Linked DNA regions of Drosophila melanogaster. Changing the gene in region 1 together with any one later gene gives a genetic interaction. Each region holds a gene or a part of one and is shown on either strand. Other genes may lie near its edges.

Region 1 (7,356 bases):
TGTCTAGAGCCACATAACTTGGCTTATTAGCTGACAAAAACTTACTATGACAATGAAGGTGAACAGCAGAAAGATGCACCTAAACCAGATTTCAATCTGCGTGAAGTCCGGACTGTAAGTCTTGAACTGAAGTGGAAAGTTAGTGACCATCACTACAATGGGAATGCCATGCCACTCACGTAAAATGTTATGCTGCGTATATTATACTTCTGATGGAATGACTCCAAGCCGTAAAAGCGCACAGTGATAATATAGTGGGCATAGTCGAGGAATCCCAGATGCATCACCGTGAACTCCTCGCAGTCGTTCCGTACGCAGACCAAGTGCCGCGTCCGGTTGTGAGCCACTCCGGATCCGAGGACACTTTGGGGCTTGTGCTGCTCGTTTATGCCATCGATTGAGACGCTCACTTGGAAACTCTTGTCGTACCGCTCGTCTGAATGATTGTCATACATATATGTAAATGTAAGAAAAGTAAAATAGTCGCAATCACAAGACCCACCATCATTGTTGTCCGTCACCAGCTTGGCTATCAGCCACATTTGCTGCGAATATGTGGTGGTCAGCGGCGACTTCATGGCGAAGGGTCCCTTCCCCAGGACCGTTGGGCTATGCGCCAGCGAGGTGTTCGCCAGAATCTGCTGGGCGGTCAGCGATGATGTGCTGGTTATGGGCGGTCCCGTCAGCCCGATGACTATGCCCAGACCGAAGCAGGTGAAGAATCCCAGGAAGACCATGACAAACTCGCGCTTGTGCATCGAGTAGAGTCGCATATGGACGGATCGCTCGCAGCGATCGTGATGATAGGCGGGCGAGATGTACCTGCTGAAGTCGCTGAACAAATCGCTGAACTGTGAGAGGGAAGATTTGAGGCGCAGCAGGAGGCCGCCGGACGGCAGCTGGTAGGCGTAGCCCAGGCCAGAGGCATCCGCATCCGAGTGGGGCTTGGCCATGGCCGCTGGCAGGAATTACGGGTGTCTAGCTGATGCTCGGTGTCCACCTAGCCGTCGCCTTTTACTGCATCTCCTCTACGCCGTAGAACTCTTTTTTTTTCGCGTTTTTTTTACAGATTATTGACAAGTCTTCCACAATCCGTCCGACGTTTGTGCGACTTTCGTGGAAAATATCGATTTTGGCCAGCACTACTCGCATATGTTTTGACTTGCCAGTGGGGGTGGCTGGGCCATTGGGTGGTGGGCCGACCATCCGTCGAGTTGTTTGCCATTTCACATGCACTGCGCATGCGTACTCTTATCACAACTGAAGGTAAATAAAAGCCAATCTCGCAAAGGGGGGAGGGAATATCAAGCAACCGGATGGATAAATAACTTAGGAATTGGGCTTGATACACATGAATTAAATGAGCTCAATTGGAACATAATGGGTAAGCAATATAATCAATCAATTTACACATCAGTTTGGCTTACATCTATCTATGTTATTTTGTGCGGACCATTAGTCCCAGTATTTTATCTGGCCATCCCAGCCAGCGGTGACCACTTTGCTGGCCTCATGCGGATGCCAGAGGGCACTGATGCAGACGCCGTCGTGCGCCTGCCACTTCTTGTACATCTTCGTCGTCTTCCAGTCCCAAATATAACATTTGCCATCGCCATCGCCCGACACCAGATAGCTCATGTCCGGCGAAAAGTCCAGCTGGCAGGCGTAGCCAGAGACCATGTGACCGGTGAAGGTCTTTTTGCGGTTCATCTTGAAGCGATTGAGGGCGGAGAAGATGACGATCTTGTTGTCTAACGACTGGCAGGCCATCCATTTGCCATTGGGCGCCAATGTGACCGCCGGCATGGAATGCATAGTGGGGTCGGCAATGTACTTCATGTCCACAGGAATGTCCCACTCCCATATGCGCATCGATTTGTCGTCCGAGGTGGTCACAAACCGTCGGTTGTCGTCCACAAAGGTGATGGTGCTCACAGATCCCAAGTGCCGGTCGTATTCCTGTACAATATCACCGCTGCGAGTGTCCCACTGCGAATTGATAGGAAAACAATTGTAACATGAGCATCTACTTTTGTAAATTTTACTTACACAAATGATCTTCTTGTCGGAGGTGCCGGCAACGAACAAATGTTGCTTGCTATTATCCGGATGGAATTTCACACAGAAAGGCATTTTACGCGTTGTGAATCGGGACACTACATCGCCCGTTTCGGCATCCCACAACTTTATGTAGCGATCATACGAGGCAGACAGGAAGTTGGTACCCCTGTTGTTCCACGCAATATCCTTGATGGCCTGCCGGTGACCGGAGAAGGTGCGTATGCAGCGTCGCTCGCCGTAAACCTCCCACAGTTTGACGCGACAGTCCATCGATCCGGAGAGCAGAAGATGAGCGGTCTTGGGGAACCAGCGGATGGAGGAGATGCCCTTGTTGTGGCCCGACCAGGTGTGTATGTGCGCCTTGGGCAGAAAGCATTTGGTCGGTGGTGCATTCGATCGTAGATTCACGCCCAGATCATGAGGAGCATGCAAATAAGAGCGGCCCTGATAGTCGTACGCATCCTTGACTGTGGAGCAAAAAAGGAAAAGATTATTAACGATATATATTCGGTGGCTATTGGATTAAACTCACTGTGCAGCGTCGACTTCTCCTCGAGCGGCTTATCCTCGGGAATGCGTCCGCGCTTATGTCGCTTAGACAGCAGCTCGTCCAGTTCGGCGCGCTCCTGTTCATTTGGCTTTGCCACCGACACCTCGTTTTCGAACTTGCCCCAGGGACCCAGAAAGCCCTCAATGTCCTCGGGATTATCATTTTTCTCCTGCTTGCGCAGTTTCTTTGCCTTGGGCGGCTCAAATACCGTCTTGCCATTGTCATCGTACGCAGACTGCAGGTCACCCACAAAAGACTGGCCGTCCGCCTGATCGTCTACGCTGGGGTCCAATGCGTAGCCGTAGGTGTGAAAGGTGCGTCGCTGGTTCTCAAATTCGAAGGCATTGATGTGGGCCTTCTCTACGTAGCCGGCTAGGGTGTTCCGCGGAGCGCGCTGCTGCATGGTGAGGTCCGGATGCTCCGGACCTTTTACCGGAGCATACATCTCCTCATAGCGCGGATTGTAGGTTACCTCCTTGAGCGTGGGATCCAGAGTTCGGGGCACGGCCGATGCTCCAAGGGGAACCACCGTTGGCGCCGCACAAACAGCAATGGACTTGGATAGCGAGTGTGTCTTGTCCACGGGCAGCAGGTGATCCGGAATGGGAGCGGAGGGCTCTGAATTCGTGGTGGCTGTGGCGGCGTCCGCATGGTCCGATTCTTCATCCGAGGAACTGGCGTATGACTGAAGGCCCAACATTTAGAGGCTGCGGACGAACTCTGTGTACTTGTTAACGAAATGCTGAAGGTAAATCAAGACCAGAGTGTAGAGGAGGAATACGAAAACGTTAATGGATATTTCCATTCGTCTACACGTTTGCGTTTATCATTAGTTGCTTCAGTAAAAGTAACAAAAACATAAATATATATCTATCAAAACTAGGGATGGTGCGTGCCATCTGTTATCGATGTTATCGAATGGCTATGTAACGGTCTCACTAATAGATCCCAAACATGCAAGGTGGTGCAAGTTTAAAGCTTATTTTAAATTTTTTAAGTTGTATGGAAATAGTATTTGATATTTTTTTGCTCATTTTGCTCAAACACCTATTCAGTGCTGATCGATAACAGGTAAGGAAATGTTTGGCCATACGGTCATACTACATCAGGGAGTGAAGTTGCGTTGATACATTTTGGGAACTTAAGACCGCTGAAAATACCGTCTCTGTAAATTAGTCACAATGACTGCAGGCAGGCACTGGAGCTACGACAGCCTCAAACAAATCGCCATTGATGGATGCACCGAGAACGTGGAGCAGTTGAAACTAATTTTTGTCGAAGAGATTGGTTCGCGACGCAGATCGGATTGCATACGAACCATCGAGGATTTAATTGACTGCCTGGAACGAGCGGACGAACTATCGGAGTACAATGTGGAGCCACTGCGCCGGATATCAGGCAATATGCCACAGCTCATCGAGGCTCTGAGCGCCTACACAAAGCCGGAAAACATTCTTGGACATCCGGTTAATCTGTACCAGGAACTCCGATTGGCCGAGGAACTTCGTCAGCAGCTCCGTATTGCTCCAGCTTCCCAGAATGCTCAGCCATCAGTTTCGGAATTAGCTGCCGCTGTGCCTCCAACAGCAATCCAAAACTATGCCACCCCAGCTGCTTTTACGGATCACAAACGAACGATGGTCTTTAAGAAAATATCCGAGGAACTGGGTCGCTATTGGCGACGACTGGGCCGATCGGCGGGCATTGGCGAGGGCCAAATGGACACAATCGAGGAGCGCTACCCGCACGACTTGAAGTCCCAGATTCTGCGACTGCTGCAGCTCATCGAAGAGGATGATTGCCACGATCCCAAGCACTTTCTGCTTCGTCTGTGTCGCGCCCTGGGCGATTGTGGTCGCAATGATCTGCGCAAGAGGGTGGAGCAGATAATGTCGCACTAGAACGCATTCACTTATATGCACTTTATATGCATTTTGTTACGATACTAGTAATTAATGTGCTGGAGAGCGACAAAGATGTGCCTTTATTGTAATTATTCACATGTTATTCCAAGGTTGGACAGAGCATAAAAATCGCACACTAAATTAATATGTGTCAACGCGGAATTGTACGATCTTATAAGAAAATGTGATTGACGTATTCCATTCAAAATGGGAATTCACATTTCCTTATCATAAGATAGTCTACAAAAAATATTGTTAACTCGTAATACACAAGTCACATAGTTGAAGATAGCAATGTACAATGGATATAAAATACGTTTTGCAAACGCTTTTGCTTCTCTTATCCTCAAAAGACGGTTGAAAATTTGTTTACAAATAGGGTCACACCTTTTGCATTGAACTATCGAATTGGCAATTATCGATAGGCACAGCTGGCTGAATATCGTTTGCTTCGGGGTGAATGGTTAGCAACACGTGCGCGCAATATTTTATTTGAGAATTCTGTTTTTAACCATTAAACTCTATTAAAAAGCATACATAGTTAGCAATATGTCTATTCGGGAGAAGCTGCTGATGAAGAAGATCGTTAAGCGGGAGAAGATGAAGAAGGAGCTCTCGCAGAAGAAGGGAAACAAGAACGCCCAAAAGCAGGAGCCACCCAAACAAAATGGCAATAAACCCAGTAAAAAACCGGAGAAACTCAGTAAAAAGCATGTGGCCAAGGATGAGGGTACGATTAAAAACGTGTGTGCCTAATAAATATATGTAAGATTCACTTTTCGACCCGCAGATGACGACTTAGAGGAGGATTTCCAGGAGGCGCCGCTGCCCAAGAAGAAGCAACAAAAACAGCCTCCAAAAAAGCAACAAATTCAGGTGGCCAACTCGGATTCGGAATCAGATGACGATGAGCAGGAGGATGAGGCAGATGAGGATAGCGATTTGGACGAAGTAGCCGAAGTTGATGAGGAGGATGTTGACAGCGGGAGTGAAGATGATGACCAGCAGGAAGGTAAGTAAAAGTGTCGATATTTAGGGAATTCGTTCTAACTACCAATAATAATGATGATTTTTAAAGGCGAATTTGAGCAGCTCTGGTGCAGCGAGTTAATGTTGCCCAGGGCAGGCATGAAATCCATTTAAAAACCAACTGAATTATATAAAATACTAAAAAACTGTATCCCTGTGAAAACCAAAATTAACCAAGAGTACCTGTTTCAGATGAAGATGAAGAAGAACCTGTGCCAGCCAAGAAAACGAAGTTGCTTCCCAACAAGTCCAAGGCACAGAATGGCAAACCAGCTAAAGACGACGAGCCCTTTACCGTGGAATCCTCACTGGCTGCACTGGATTACCGAGATTCGGATGATCGCAGCTTTGCCTCTTTAAAGGGCGCCGTGTCCGAGGCCACATTGCGAGCCATTAAGGAGATGGGTTTTACCGAGATGACTGAAATTCAGTCGAAATCGCTGACACCCCTACTAAAGGGACGGGATCTGGTGGGTGCTGCCCAGACGGGTTCCGGCAAAACCCTGGCCTTCCTGATACCCGCCGTCGAGCTGATAAACAAGCTGAGGTTTATGCCACGCAATGGTACCGGCGTGATCATCATCTCACCTACCCGAGAGTTGTCCATGCAAACTTTCGGTGTGCTCAAAGAGCTGATGGCACACCACCATCACACTTATGGCTTGGTAATGGGCGGCTCCAATCGGCAGGTGGAGAGCGAGAAGTTGGGCAAGGGCATCAACATTCTGGTGGCCACACCGGGTCGTCTGCTGGATCATTTACAAAACTCGCCCGACTTTCTGTACAAGAACCTTCAGTGCCTGATTATCGATGAAGTGGATCGAATTCTGGAGATCGGTTTTGAGGAGGAGCTTAAGCAAATAATAAATCTGCTGCCAAGTGAGTTACGGGTAACTAAAGGTTTTTAGTGTATTTTTAAACTAACCTAATCTTTTAGAACGCCGCCAGACGATGCTCTTCTCGGCCACACAGACGGCTCGCATCGAAGCGCTTTCCAAGCTGGCCCTTAAGTCGGAACCAATTTATGTAGGGGTTCACGACAACCAGGACACGGCGACCGTAGATGGACTCGAGCAGGGGTACATTGTTTGCCCCTCGGAGAAGCGACTGCTCGTGCTCTTCACGTTCCTCAAAAAGAATCGTAAGAAGAAGGTGATGGTGTTCTTCTCGTCCTGCATGTCCGTCAAATACCACCACGAGCTCTTCAACTACATTGATCTGCCAGTGACCTCCATCCACGGTAAACAAAAGCAAACGAAACGAACGACCACCTTCTTCCAGTTCTGCAACGCGGAATCTGGGATTCTCTTATGTACGGATGTGGCTGCTCGTGGATTGGACATTCCGCAAGTCGATTGGATTGTGCAGTACGATCCTCCAGATGATCCACGCGAGTATATTCACAGGGTGGGCCGAACGGCCAGAGGATCGGGCACCTCGGGTCACGCCCTCCTTCTGATGCGACCGGAGGAGCTGGGCTTCCTGCGCTACCTTAAGGCCGCCAAGGTGCCGCTCAATGAGTTCGAGTTCTCCTGGCAGAAGATAGCTGATATTCAACTGCAGGTGGGTGCTCTTTCTTTGAGTTAAAATTGTTAGCTATGGTTTAAGGTGATTTAATTCGTATGTTTCTTATCCACTGCAGCTGGAGAAACTGATCGCCAAGAACTATTTCCTAAACCAGTCGGCCAAGGAAGCCTTTAAGTCGTATGTGCGCGCATACGATTCGCATCAATTGAAGCAGATCTTCAATGTGAACACGTTGGACCTGCAGGCGGTTGCGAAAAGCTTTGGATTCCTTGTGCCACCCGTAGT
Region 2 (6,416 bases), about 18 Mb from region 1:
CTGCAAAAGTCTACAGAGGTCTTGCAAGCTATGCAGAGCCTGGTGCGCTATCCAGAGCTTGCAGGCATCATGCGCGACATGTCAAAGGAAATGATGAAGGCCGGCATTATTGAGGAGATGCTAGACGAGACCATGGACTCGCTGGAGGAGTCCGAGGAGCTGGAGGAGGAGGCAAGCAAGGAGGTGGACAAGGTTTTGTGGGAGATCACAGATGGCAAGCTCGGGGAAGCTCCCCTGCCTCCAGAGGCTACACCGGCGGACAAGGCGTCTGCGTCTGCTGCGCGCGTCGAGGCTGAGCAGGACGATGAGGAGGGTGAGGAACTGCAAGAGATGCAAAGCCGCCTGGCCTCGCTGCGATCTTAAAACAACTGCTATGGGTATTTTATTTAGATTTGAAATTAAAGGCAAGTGATTTTGACTGGCAGACCTTATCAAAATCATAAACGGCAACCCCCACGCCGTCATTTGATTGTAGAAACCAAAATAATCTCCAGAAACTTGAATTGAGTTTTTATATTATAAGTGTACAGTACACCAGATCAAGAAGTGTTGAACTCTGCGCGTTTTACCGTTGAATCTACACGAGATAACTTAATTTATTGTAAAATCTACCTTTCATTAAAAATCGATATTTACTGTGGCATGTCCCATTTTACAATGGTAATCTGCACGATTTACGATCAATCCCTAAGAATGTTAATTTTCGTCATTTAAGATTAAGCCCTAACGTTGTTTTCTATCCAGTTCAGATACGCTTCAACCCTTGTGTACACGCCGGGCCATCCTTTTAGGCCACAGGGCGTGGGTCCGTAGGAGACCACACCAGCAATGTAGTAGTTTGAGTTTCCATTGGAGTAGTCCTCGAGCAGAAGGGGGCCACCCGAGTCCCCGCGACAGGAATCAACCCCCTCAACTCCGCCGGCGCACATCTGTTTGGTGGTGACAGTCCTTCTTTGGGTGGCGTATCTTTGGTTGCATTCGGACGTCGGTACCGTATCCAACTCAGCCTTCAGCTTGATATTGGACGTAAAATTTGTCTCCGTGCGACCCCACCCTGCCACCACCACCTTTCGGCCAAGGAATATATTGTTGTGCTGGGACGCTAAAGTGGGCAGACATACTGGTAATATGAAGTCGCTGTACTGAACCTCGTCCCGCAATCGCAGCAACGCAATGTCATTTAGCTGGTCCCGTGAGTTTCCCGGGTACTGCGGGTGCGGAATACGCTCCTCAACAGGGTAGTCTACGTACGGTTCGTTGCAGTCCCGTCGTCCGTTTTTACCGACTGTGCAATCCGGATTGGTGCTCGCATCCCACTCACCCAGGCGTACTCCCGTCAGCTCCCAATCACTGGGAATAGCCGAGACGCAGTGTGCCGCCGTCAGAACGTAACGATGGTTGATTAGAGATCCGCCGCAGTGGTGACCTTTCACGTTACCGGCTGGTAAAATGGGGGGGGGGGGGGATTAGTCCCTGCAGCAGGGAATATTTTGGTTACTCACGCTTCGTGTACTCTATTAGGGCCATCCAAGGAAACTCCCTCTTTGTCGTCTCGTTACCACCCACCACTCGGTCTCCAAAGTTTTCACCGCAATTGGGCGCCATTGGTAACAGTTTGGTCCCAGAGCGTTTTGTAGGCTTAGTGGTCTGAGTAGGTTGAGGATGATTTCCCCACTGAGGTTGCTGGTTTCGCATTCGGCTGTTTGCACAGCAAATCTGAACATTGGTAAAACAAAAATGTTTTTCCTAAATTGATAAAAGTTGATAATAAGAATGCATGGTGGCGTCGCATCGAAAAGCGATTCGATGCGATAGCCATAAGTAAAAGAATTAATTTATATATATGTTCAATGGATGAAAATGATCTTAATCGATTTTAGCACCACAACTTTTTAAGGGGGTACTAACAAGCACTTGTCCATTCCGGTAGCCACATTGGCTGGCTTGCAGAAATCGACGGTCCTGTTCCGTAACCTCTTCGCTTTGAAGCAGTTCGAATAGGTATCCACATTCCCGGAGGTTTATGCAGGTGCCGCTGTTCTCATCAGGCGTTCTACAATACCCAAAGATTTCTGAAAAAAAAAAACGTAAATCGTAAAGCCCGGTTCAAAGATAGTCGTGATTAACAGCGGGAACGGGATTTCTGCGTTCTGGGACCAGCCCACTGTGACTATCATCGACTCAGCCCGACTCGGGGTGAAGTTCACCGCTGATAGGAGGTTGCTTTGTGTTTTGATGCCAGCAACCCCCGACTACGACTGAGAGCCAAAACCACTTGCCTTGTGCGTAAGTGCTGCTTGTTCCCATCAATAGCATCCACAGTACGGTGAAAAAAAAGTGCGGTTCCATGGTTATATCTTCGACTGTACTATAGCACTGTACTTGGAAGAACGATACGCTGACAGAGCGCCTGCCGAGAACACACTGAATGTGGCTATAAACTGGAATGCGATCGAGCTCTAAGTTACAGCTTATCAGCGGTTCTCTCACAGAGAATGGTTCAACCTGAGGAAGCACACCAGCATTAAGAGAGTGCAAGTCTGGGTTTATCTCAGGGTCTGGTTTTGGGCACACCCATACTGGCGAAAAAGCCCGCTCTCAATGTTGGGTCCGCTCTTTATGCGTTGCTCATCAGGGAACTTCCCACGCCAACAGAATGCAGATGATACTTACCCTCTTCTCCTAGGGCTGAAATATCTTGGGTCGGACGATATCTGTAAGTCCATACGGGCCAATCCATTAAAAAATCTGGCAAACCCACTTTATTAACAGAGAGTGAATTTTCACATTCAAACATTTGCAAACCCTCTGTAAAAACAATTTCTGTAAAACATAATAATCGAATATTTTGAAAAATATCAAAATTAAACATTACCAATCTTTTTTTGTAGCCAGATACATAAAATCTTTGAAAATAATTAGGAGAAACTTAGGAAAATATCCTAAAGTAGTTTCCATAATCAATTTTTCTAACTTCGTATATATTCTCTAAACTTCATTAATAGGTATTTAAAACGATTGTACTACTATACTATTATACTTATTTTATCGTTAAGATTCCAGAGAAATACAGTAACCTTAAGTTTTTTAAGTATTGTTAGAAAAATAACAAGAGAGAATGCGAGTTCCCCGACTATCCGATACCCGTTACTCAGCTAGTGTGAATGCGAACGCGAAATTTCATAATTTTTCTGGGATATCAATAGGTATTGGGGAATAAAATGAGAAAAAAAAAATTAATAATTGTTCAAAAGTAGGGCGTGACCGGCTTTAGCTGCTTTAGGGCGTGGCAAAAAGTTTTTTGCCAAATAAATAGAAAATTTACAAGACTAATAAAATTATGAAAAAATATCGAACAATTTTTCAAAATTGTGGGCGTGGCAGTTATGTGCGGTTTAAGGTACTTGCAGTGGGCGTGGCAAGGAAAATAACACATTTTTCAAAAGTGTGGCAACATGGGACAACAAACTTGCGCTGCGCCTGTGACAGACGGACATGGCTTGATCGACTCGGCTATTGATCCTGATTAAGAATATATATACTTTATATAGTCGGAAACGCTTCCATGCGTACATGTAGTTTGTACTTTTCAAAGAATTTATTATACCCTTTTACTCTACGCGTAACTGGTATAAAAAGAACTGAGGTTATGTACTCCATAAGCCAATATAGTTTCAGAAGTGGACGTCCAAGGAGTCACTTTGTTATTCAATTTAATTTCCATGATTTTCTAATCTTTTCTAATCATTTAAATTCATAAATATACAAGCATACCACTTCAATTTGTAATGATATATGAAATTGTTTTAAGTGCTTTTAAATTGTCGTGAGGCGGTTACAAAGCGTTGAGTAGAGCAAAGGCATTATGTCGAATAATTCTACTTCTTATGTCTTTTGGTTGGGTATGGTAATATCGACAGGGCTAGTGATCTTGGTGAAGAAAGCGAATATTTGTGAGGGTTACATCCTTACATTTTACGAGTTTTGGTAAAATAAGACATTATTTTAAAATTGTGACATTGTTTTATCTAGACTGTTTCCGTTTCCGACAGCGTAGTAATTTGCAATTGCAATGTACAGAAAACTTTAAACAGACGCGGCATTATGATGATTGGCTATAAGCTGTAAATGTAGCCTTCGCCAAAAGTAAGAAAGAAATGATTTCAATTTGTTTCAAGCGCTTTTAAGTTAAGGCCGAGTGGCCAAGATGCGAACGAAAAGCACTTAGGCGAACAGTCCCTCAGTTGGCAGTTACCATCTTCCTTCAGAACAGATGCCTCTCGCCCTATCGTTTGCTTAGTGGCCATTAGTTTGCTGATTTAATGCCGTTGCCCACTTCAAGAAAGAGTGGACGTCGTCAATTTTACCATTTCATTTGACAATGCATTTCATTAGGGGTTACCTCCGGCTTATCTTTGAGCTGAACTTCTGACTACTCGTATTAAATTAAATTGGAATCTGCGGGGTAGCAAGAGAATTGCCGTTCCTGACGTTGTGGTTTTGGGCTAATAAACGCCGCTGTTCACACTTCGCTAACTGCAAAGTGTTCTAGCGGTGACACGTGGGGTCTTTCCTTTGTATAATTAAAGGCCGCTCCTACAATATTTATAAGATGATGTCTGTCACTCTACTGGTTTTGCACGAATCTTAAATAATCCTGAATGACAATGAAAGTATTTAAAGAAGACAACGGATTTAATATAAGTTGTACCGAAATACCAATAAACTTTTGTAATTAAGAATAGAATTGAAAGTACTCCCCCCCCCTATCGAACACGAACCAAACCAACAAAGTTTGAAATGCCATCATCCACAATCATCTCCCGCCCGCTTATTGCGCTCTATCTCATATCACAATCCACATAGTGACGAAGCGTAACAGGAGAGTGTGCAAAGACACACACAATATATATAAAAAGAAATGAAAAATTTCTTTGGTCTGCAACTAGACTTAAAACTAAAGGGATACAAAACCAAGATATAAGAAAATAGAATGGTTCAGTAGCAAAAGGTGAACGTGAAATGGGACTGGTGGGTATACAATTTGTTCATAGGAATTCGCATTAAGCGACGCCTTATTTTTAAACCACTAACAGATGTAAAAATGATGTTACAATTTGCGAGATATATTCTTTATCTCGAGTTCGCTAATTAAGAATGTGCATTTAGTTTACTTAATAAGTAAATATTAGAGTGCGTTTAGTCAAGTTCACAAATATTTTTCTACCCAAAAGCTGAAAACAGAACTTTTGTATGTTAGGAGTGATCGTCCCTTGATTTCTTAACTCGTGGTTTATATGTTATATGATAAGGGGTGTTTTCGGCGATTGAAAAAATTACATCCATACATAAGGGCTCACAAAGCCAAGTCAAAGTGAGCAGAGAATGGCTAAATGGGTGGAAGGAAAGTCATCAGGAAAAAGTCGGAAAAGTCTTTGAATTCCCAAACACTTAGGAATGTAATGTCACAACAATGCAGACCACACAACTGCACAGCGACAGCAGCTTGGATTGCTAAGAACGAGTTTTAACAAATTCCAATGTACGCCTCCTACTGAGCAAAATGTTGGCAGAATGATATGCCATGGCATGGCGAGATGAGGATGGTGAATGTGAGGAACGTTGGCCTTTATTACACTTGAGTGTGCGTGGGCGAATCGACTAACACCCCAGAAACTAAAATAAGACGCGGAATGTATTGATTTTTTCATAATGCATTTTTAAACGCTTTATTCTAAATGAACTTGTTCTATATTAAAATATAATTCAACAGTAAATACAATACAACATATTACAATGCAATACAATATATTTCAATTTAACTGGTACAATACTGGTATTCGCTACTCATTCAATCATTCGACTCGCACTTGCATCGCTGCGGTGTTTAGTGCGTGTCCGTGTAGAACTTTGACCTATGAGTAATAATTGTTTGACAGAACCATTGGCATTGGTTGTTAAGTTACTCTATCTTCAAAACGTTATCGAAATGCAAGAATGCTTAATTTAACTGCGATAAGTGGCTAAGCTGCTAACTATTACAGCTGCTTTCGATTTACCAGGGACTTCTACGGCATTTCTTTGAATGTTTCCCATTTCTAAATCGTATTCTTTCGAAGGCAAGGAGATATAATGCAGATATTTAAAAAAAGTCTTGCTATTTTTTGGGGGCTTGTAACGAAAGCAGGTACGCTTTAATTAGATGATAGATGTCCAAAAGTGGTTTATATGATATCAAATGTCAATGAGGCGTGTGTCAAAACTATTGTTATTACTCAATCTGTATATGGTCCTAGGTAATTAATTTAACTTTGGGCTATGCGTCTTTTATTATTTTTAAAGTTAAATTATTCTTGTATATTTTGAGTCGCAAATTTATGATTAATTAGGGTATAGAATCTTTAATATATTTTTAT

The links. Genes that interact genetically often act in the same process or in processes that back each other up.
Region 2: of Fadd (region 1) and MP1, changing one enhances a phenotype caused by changing the other (phenotypic enhancement), as found in Drosophila melanogaster (one study listed by BioGRID).

The regions. Positions count from the first base shown.
Region 1 is NT_033777.3:22,030,771-22,038,126, forward strand, and holds Fadd (Fas-associated death domain), read left to right. Parts: upstream 1-3,684; 5' UTR 3,685-3,792; coding exon 3,793-4,512; 3' UTR 4,513-4,847; downstream 4,848-7,356. Other genes in the region: CG13409 (uncharacterized protein), read right to left, coding at 46-126, 180-436, 503-953; CG6015 (uncharacterized protein), read right to left, coding at 1,456-1,989, 2,050-2,528, 2,594-3,311; CG45099 (uncharacterized protein), read right to left, coding at 3,312-3,416; pit (pitchoune), read left to right, coding at 5,065-5,245, 5,306-5,527, 5,737-6,423, 6,482-7,107, 7,187-7,356.
Region 2 is NT_033777.3:4,303,920-4,310,335, reverse strand, and holds MP1 (melanization protease 1), read right to left. Parts: upstream 2,429-6,416; 5' UTR 2,350-2,428; coding exon 2,280-2,349; exon of another isoform or gene 2,073-2,279; coding exon 1,909-2,072; coding exon of another isoform or gene 1,882-1,908; exon of another isoform or gene 1,747-1,881; coding exon 1,503-1,746; exon of another isoform or gene 1,442-1,502; coding exon 717-1,441; 3' UTR 501-716; downstream 1-500. Other genes in the region: Vps24 (vacuolar protein sorting 24), read left to right, coding at 1-363. UniProt on the Drosophila melanogaster protein: Serine protease which plays an essential role in the melanization immune response by acting downstream of sp7 to activate prophenoloxidase (PPO1).